Linked DNA regions of Arabidopsis thaliana. The protein of the gene in region 1 interacts with the protein of each later gene in a biochemical or structural test. Each region holds a gene or a part of one and is shown on either strand. Other genes may lie near its edges. The genes, in order: PID and PBP1.

The links.
Region 2: the proteins of PID (region 1) and PBP1 form a complex in vitro, tested with the Arabidopsis thaliana proteins (one study listed by BioGRID).

The regions. Positions count from the first base shown.
Region 1 is NC_003071.7:14,589,086-14,593,829, forward strand, and holds PID (Protein kinase superfamily protein), read right to left. Parts: upstream 3,056-4,744; 5' UTR 2,473-3,055; coding exon 1,925-2,472; intron 1,618-1,924; coding exon 849-1,617; 3' UTR 651-848; downstream 1-650. UniProt on the Arabidopsis thaliana protein: Serine/threonine-protein kinase involved in the regulation of auxin signaling. Acts as a positive regulator of cellular auxin efflux and regulates organ development by enhancing polar auxin transport.
Region 2 is NC_003076.8:22,119,383-22,122,933, reverse strand, and holds PBP1 (pinoid-binding protein 1), read right to left. Parts: upstream 1,833-3,551; 5' UTR 1,477-1,832; coding exon 1,093-1,476; 3' UTR 812-1,092; downstream 1-811. Other genes in the region: AT5G54480 (hypothetical protein (DUF630 and DUF632)), read right to left, coding at 2,768-3,551. UniProt on the Arabidopsis thaliana protein: Potential calcium sensor that binds calcium in vitro.

The DNA.
Region 1 (4,744 bases):
ATGTATAAGTTTTTCAAAGTAATTTTATAATCTGAAAATGACATTTAAAACCTATGATGTGTTCTTTTTTTTTTTTCGGGGGCCAAAATGTGGTCAAGTGAATGTATCTAATTAATGAAATCGATTTAACACATTAAAGAAAATGACACCACTTTATATAAAGCTTAAACGAATTCACTAGAGGAATGCGTTTGATACTCTATATCAAGAAAACAATTTCGTCTTGCCGTCTATAGTTTATTGTTCTCCTTAAGTTGAAATTGAAGAGAACGAATCGAAAGCAGAAGAGAGATCATGCAACTGGTCGGATCCAAAAAGGCAGATTCCTACCCTTATGGATAACGTTTTTTTCTCCCTTTTTTGACATTCTAAAGACTCGTAGAGATTTAACAAAGAGCAAATATGACTTCATGTGTTACAATTGTCAAAAGACGAATCTTCTTTTCTTTTTCTATACCCGTCGAACTACAAAGTCTAGGCGTGACGAGTTTTATTATAAAGTAATTCGTTTTCTTTTCCATTGCGGTGAAAAGTAGTTCATTCAAACCGGTAAGAAATGTTTGACCAAATTTGGTCAACTATATAATGCCTTAACATTAACTATCGTTAGACTGGTAAATAGATGTTCCCAAGTTCCGAAGAGTTGATAATGATAATTATAAAATAGATTAGTTTTAGATTAATCCGTTTGTTGTACAAATTGTATGAAAAGTCACCTAAATTTTTAATTTATAAGTCAGATTAACGAAATTTTAAAAATTAAAGAACGAAAAAAAGGACAGCTTCGAGGGAATATGTACAGCTAAAACAGACTAACACGTGGCCCTAATCTCGACCGTAGAAAACGTTCAAAAGTAATCGAACGCCGCTGGTTTGTTACTACTTCTACCACTAAACGTCGCCGATTTCATCGGCTTCTTGACGACGGAAGAAGGAATCTCCGGCGGAGTAAGCGTACGAATGAGCGCAAAGTTTAGACCTTTGAAAAAAGGATGCACTTTAACCTCCGCCGCACCTCGCCGTGACCCAAGTCTTTTAGTCGGATCTTTGTTAAGCAACCCGGAAATCAAATTCCGCGCATGAAGCTCAAACATAGTCGCCGGCGAATCAGTCGGGAAACTCAACTGTCTTTTCACAATGTTACGGAGAATGACGTCATTAGTCGGCGCAACGAACGGAGTCTTGCCATATATCATCTCGTAGAGAAACACTCCAAAGGCCCACCAGTCAACGGCATTACCATGTGATCCACCTGAAGCAACTTCTGGTGCCACGTATTCATGCGTACCAACGAACGAACCGGACCGGGCAGTAACCGGTTCAGCAACAAAGAGACGGGTTGGTTCTAAAGTCTGAACCTTTTTAGACCGCAAGACTCGTTGGAAAAGTCTAGCGAGACGAGTGAATCGTCGCGGTGAACGGAGTTGTTGATTCTCCGGCGAAGACGAGGAAGATTCAACGGCTGCGATTGAGTCGGAGCATAGAGAGAGGTCAAAGTCAGAGAGCATAATGTGACCGTCGGATCTAACTAAGATATTTTCAGGCTTCAGATCTCTGTAGATGATACCCAACATGTGTAGATATTCTAACGCCACTAGAACTTCGGCGGCATAAAATCTGTAACCAAAAACAAAATAAATACTCATTAGCTAATAAAATCATAATTATTGACGTTTATAAATTGTGATGGGCTGAAAAAGACTCTTTGATAACAATTCAAAGAACTGGAAAAGACCGACATGATAAGAACAGGTCTGTTCTTGCAGAACAAGATAACAAATGTGAACAGAGTCAATGCATGTAACTATAAAATATATATATACATTGATGATGATGAATCTTTTTTCACAATTTTTTTTTTTTGAAAAAAAATCTGACTTTGTCCATAATATTAAATTATTCAATAAAATTTGATATTTTTTACCTGGCGGAAGAGAGGGAGAATCGCCGGTGAGGTTGTCTATGACGGAGAGAGTGTAAATCACCACCGGAGCAATATTCCATAACGATGCAAGAGAAATGTGAGGCTTCAAACTCAGCGTAAAGAGTCGGCAAAAATGGATGGTCAAGCATTTTCAAAATCGTTTTCTCCATCTCTGCTCTATGCATCTTCTTCTTCAACGCAAGAGCTTCTTTATCCACAACTTTCATCGCAAAATACGAGCTCCGGCTCTCTTCTTCGTCTCCGGCTAGACGGCATAAGTAAACTGTTCCGATGTCGCCGGCGCCGATACGACGCATGAGGCGAAAATCTCGGAAGGTTAGGCCTTGTTTTTTTCGTCTTCGGATCTCTGCGTAAGCGAAATCTGAGGATCGGTGAGGTTTGAGAGAAAGGAAGCTTTCTTCTTCGGGGATAGTTGACGGCGGCGCGTCGAATGATAACCGGCTGAAACTGCTGCAACTCTCTGTTCCGCTGCTTATCGGTGAGTTTGTTGTTCCTAAACTCATCTCACCGTCTGATTCTCGTAACATCGCCGGGAAAATCGAAGTTAAATCAAGAAATGGCTAAGAGGATAATTCAAGAAAAAAAATTGGAATCTGAAAACAGAAGACTAATGACAGAGATGAAACAGGACAGGGTGTCTTTGAATGGACATTAGTTTCTGATCTGAAGAGATGAAGATTTAGGGTTTATGATTGAGAAGAAGAAGAAGATTTTCAGAAGTTTGAGAGAGATGGAAGAAGGAGAAGTGTTGGAGTTTTAGAGAGAGGCGAGACAGAGAGAGTTGGTGAGGGGTATTTATGCGTGTAAGGTTATAACAGTAAAAAGACGTTACAGAGACCATTTTTTTTTTTTCTTACTGTGGTTAATTATGTAAGATTGATTGCACTTTTCAACGCGTGAGAGAGGTAAACAGAAAAGTGAAAGAGAGAAAAAGAGGACTTGATGACGTAAGATATATGACACGTGTGAGACGTTGTCACGTGCCTGAAAGTGTAGCAGTAGCTTCTCTTTTTCCCCATTATTTTTTCTTCTTATTTCCTCTAGGCATATTATAGGGGTGCAAAATTACAGATATGGATTACAATTTCGAGACTCTTGTGTCTTTTTTTGGAGAAATATTGGACTAGTGATTCATCTGTGTTAAAAAAGTGATGACTAAATACAGATTTCATGAGGAAAATTTTGAAGATTAATACTCCATAGGTTATGAATACTAACTAATCTCAACATTATATATGGATTAGTTTCTGAAACTTAAACAGTTTTAGTTTGTTGTTTCTGGCTAATTCAAGATGATTGGTAATGTTATATCGTCTTGGTACAAAATGTACTAAAAGATATGTAATTATTCAATGAGCCCGTAAAAAAGGTTATAGGAAGAGATAGTGAAACTATTTTTTTTGTTTAATGATAACATCAATTTTCTAAAGGTTAATCAAAGAGTACTTTTAGACAAAAACTAGTACAGTATGTTCTTTCATTTGTCTTTCTCGTGAGTGAGAGTTGAACTAGAGAACTCATGGTCACGGATATATAATCTTTGAAAACCCCAAAAAAACTAGCTATTGACCAAAACACACTTAATTACTATCAATTCGTACCACTATGTTTGCCATTAAAAAAGTGTACCAGTTTGTGCGGACCCTATATATTTATACCGACTATGAACATACCTAATGATCATTAATAAAGATGATACAAATGCTGGAAGGGACCCAACCTATATACTAGGATGTTGTTGGCTTTCTGTGGCTTCATGTTACGTTACGTTCCAAGCTTTGGATTTGAATCCAAGATATTGTTTTTATGTTAGGTTAGGTTTTGGTTGATTCAATTATTGTCAATTGGAGATCTCCTCTCGCTAATTTTTGTTTTGTTTTAGCTCCACCTCCTATAATGTTTGGGCTACTATAACATATTGTATTATATAATTATACGGGAATGAACCTACTTGTCCTACTCTCATATCATTGTGGATTGACCACTGTGACAACTTTTTTCATCTCCGATTTATCTTTTCCATGAGTTGCTCTAATCCAACCTCTGTTCGCGGTTGGAAAACTGTTTTGTTTATACAGTAAAAGTTTGAGACGTATTCATATAATGTACTCTAGAATACTTATACTAGCCTCAATCTGTGAAATGGCTAGAATAAACGAATCACAACAGTTAGAAGAAGTGTGGTTAACACTTGCAAATGTTGAGTTCAAAATGAATGGAAAATAGAGGGGAAACGTAGCCTAAGTTTCATGCACAATATATAGCTTTAACTTTGTTTCATAAGCCATAAAAAGGACAGACATAAATATGCCCACCGCTTATGATTCATTTGGCGCATATATATCTGCATGGCCCTCTCCTTAGCTAACCTTAGAACACGTTTTTCAAAATTAATGTGTCCCTAGGTTAAGATAAGTGTCCCTAGGTTTAGTTTTAAATTAAAGAATCTGAATCAAACATTAACATATTTGACTGTGACTATATTCAGTTATTCTCTTAAGTATTTTGGAAACTTAAGAGAAAGAAGTTTGGAGAAAAAAGAAGGAAATAAGGAGAAAAATGCATGAGATGTTTGGTGGAAGAGGGACAAAGTCGTAATTGTGCCAGCTAAATTGGCAAAGAGACAAAACAGAACTGACCTCTGGACTTATGGTTAAATAAACCCAGAGAGATATTCCCTTCCTCGTTGGTTCCTAAAGACAATAACTGTTCCCGTTACTTCTGTATCTTCTCAAACTCTCTCTTAGCCAAGTGTTTGGTAACTAGTTTAACTATATCCCAATCTTGTACCAATTACTA
Region 2 (3,551 bases), on another chromosome or scaffold:
AAAAATGCCAAAGTTGGCTTGCGTTTCAAGGATGCTTCGCTTTTACACCCCATTTTTTTTATGATGATCAATTCACCCCTAATTCTGCTGGTATTTCGTGTAAACAAAGTAATCGGCTTTTTATAGCTTTATTGACCAAAGTGTCGCTTAAGATACGTACATGCATGATTTGGTCTTTTTCGCAGGATCTCAGGAACTGCATGGCTACACGCATTAGCCTAAATGATGAATCACTCGCAATGTGCAACCATATTTGCTTTATAAAGAAATTAACTAATGAAAAGTAGAAATATGATCAGGTGGTTGAAAGATGACACTACACTCAAGAGTTCTAATAATTAAATGTGGACTTTGATGAATGATATGTTAAGACGTTTGTTATAAAGATTTTGTAGCTTACCATCCAGTAAATAAAATAAATCTCTTCTTTTTTTTTGCTTTTCCTTTATTAATGCTATTTCTATCCAATAACAAAAAAAAACACAACTCCAAGTCCATGGTCAGCCTAAATCTTATTTATGATGTATATTAGACTTGGAGTTGGGTTTTTTTGTTTGCCAGCAACTCATAGCTTTCTAAAATGCTAATCAAACAGGTCGTAAGATTTAACTGAGCAGCCAATTTAGGTTTAGTTTGGTTCAATATTTAGGTTAAAGTTTTGGTAATGGTATAAAAACATCTTGGTTCTTAAGTTTAGTTTGGTTTAATGTTTTAGTGGGGTTTTTTTTTTTTCAAAACAAAAATCGCCAAAATGTTTTTGACACTTATATTCTTTTTCACTCTGAAGATTTATATTTATTTTTAATAATTTTTTGGTTAATGATTCTTATCTATCGATCCTTACATGACGAAGCCTAAACTAAAAAGTTTGAATAAAAGAAGAATAGAATCAGTTAAGATTTTCCTTCGCTACTCTCGACAAATTTTGCATATCAGTAATTCAGTATTAATCCAACAATCCTATGGACCACCTCAACAATAATGGGAAATCAAAGAGAGAATAAAAATAACATTAATAAATTATTAAATTATATTTTGGTTTTTGTGTAAACAATTCAGTCAAAGTCTCTAACGCATAAGAAGGTTTCTCTATCAATGCCGGTAAAACTCTTCCTCGATCACCTCCGTCACAACACACCGTGACGCTTCCATCAATTCAGGACTAAGTCTAAACATGAGCACACAAAACTCCATCTGATTCAACGCACCGTCTCGATCAAAATCTCCTTCGTTGATCATATATCGAACATCGTCGTCCGTTAGATCTCCGAGTCCAAGAACCGTCGATGCGTTTCTTCGTAAGCTCTCGAATGTGATGACTCCTTTGTCTTTGTCCATAAGAAGCTCGAACCCTTTGCAAATCTCTTCGATCAGACCTTCTCCACCGAGTTTTCCTGCCATTGTTGGGAAGAAATCTTGGAACTGAGGTTCTTGGTTTTCTTGGTTTGGTCTTGTTGAGGATTTAGGAGATGCCATTACAAAAGAAGAAAAAGTAAAACAGTTTGAGAGAAATTGATTGTTTTGAGAGATGGGTTTTGTGTTGTGAGTAAGTTTTATATATAAAGGAAGAGAATTATGGATTTCCGAGAAGGAACATCCATAGAAACTTGAAGCCAACTAATCTACATGTAATGGGGAAAAATCTTAAAAATTGTTGGTTTCTTCTTGGAAGCTCACGTAAGGGTATAAATGTCTTTGTTCCCACGGGAGGTTCATAATGTGAAAAGCTGAGAAGAGGATAAAGTTACTTTGAATGTGAAGTTTCGGTGACTTTCTTAGGCAAGTGACTTTTTTAGATCCCATTGATTAAGGAATGTTCTTAAAAATCACCCTGAAAAAAACACAAAATTTAGTCGGTTTGGTTTTCATTGCGTGTATGTAAATTTCATGTGAGAAACATCGCCTTCCTTGTTTTAGTTTCTAGTTTTGTTAGAAATGAAACAACTCAATTGAGAAAATATTCATTACATTGTATGTTCGTCAATAACAACCAAAGCCATTAGAGCATAATGTTTACCAAGTACCAACTAACAAGGCGATCTCGATGTATTTAGGTGAGAAAAGTCTCCAAAATAACACGTGTACAAGTTCATAGTGACTTTGGGCGATATAATTAATTATTAATCAAGATTTTTGGTCGCTTATTGGAAGACATTAACCTCTGATATCTTTGATTGAAACTTCGTTGTGGTAGACAGAATATTCCACTTGGTCTGCCCCTTCTATTGCATGCCTTTATTTTTTATTATTACTCTCCAAAACAATCCAACCAAATCTCTTCCTCATTGGATAATTAATCACTATCATTATCCATAACGTATTCAATAATGGTTTATTTTAAATGAATGCATGATCCCAACCGCAAAATGAACAGAATTCGTCGAAAGAACATTGAATCTTGATTTATTGACATGGTCATTCATCGATTTTAATTAAGTATATCTCTACCTAGATCAAGATCTTTCGGGACCGATTGAACATATATTTAAAATTCAAAATGTTTCGAACACTTAATTTAGATAATTGTCATATACAAAAAAAAAACCCGGTTCATGATCAATAACCGGAAATTTTAAGCAGATGCAAGCAATGAAGCATAAACTGATCAAAGTAAAAGTCTTACAATCTGATAATCTCGCCAGAAAATGAAGAACTTTCGCAAACATTCAAAGCTAATATGTTGATATAATAATATACGAAATCTGATGAAATTCTTTATTTAATTTCCTATACATATTTATTTTTATGATTGACGCAATCATAGAGTTTATGTGGTAACGATTACAATGTTCTGATATGCTTTAAAATTAGCAAAACAAAAATCTCCCAAAGCCTCAAAGACAGGAACCATACACTCTTGCAAACTCATCGATACGGCGTCGTTTAACTCTCTTATCAATCTCTCATGTTTTTCTGTTTCTTGCGTCACACTCTCTCTCAAAAACAACAACTCCGGTTCAACCATATTCGACGTCGGACTAGAACCTCTCGTTCCCCGAATCTCCTCCAACTCCTTCGTCTTCTTCTCTAACTCCTTAGACAATCTCTCTGTTCTCATCCTCTGTTTCTCTTCCTCTACTTGCTTAAACCCTAACCCTTGAAATCTTAATCTCATTTCTTCAACAACACTCAACACTTTAATCGTATCCACATTCTCAATCTCTCTTAACCACTCGCTGCAAACCCTAAATATCTCAGGAGCTTCAGTCTCGGTTTCATCGTCCTCCATGATGATTCGGTTAAGCCATTCGTTTAAAAGCTTAACGAAACCTCTGTGTGCATCAATGTAACCTTTCAAAGATTCTCTGTATCTTCTAATCTGTTTTTCGACTTGCTGCGTGGCTTTCCTGGAGCTCGATCCGTTTTCAACAATGTGAACACAAGACTTGCTTCTCGCAATCACTCGAAACTGCTTATGGTGACATTTCGCCAAGAATCTCCACATTGTTTTGAATCCGTTAATGATCTCAATCACTTGAAACGAAAGCTCTTCGTCTCTTATCTTATGAATTCTCATCGAAATCGATTCAACCGCTCGAACCGAAACATTA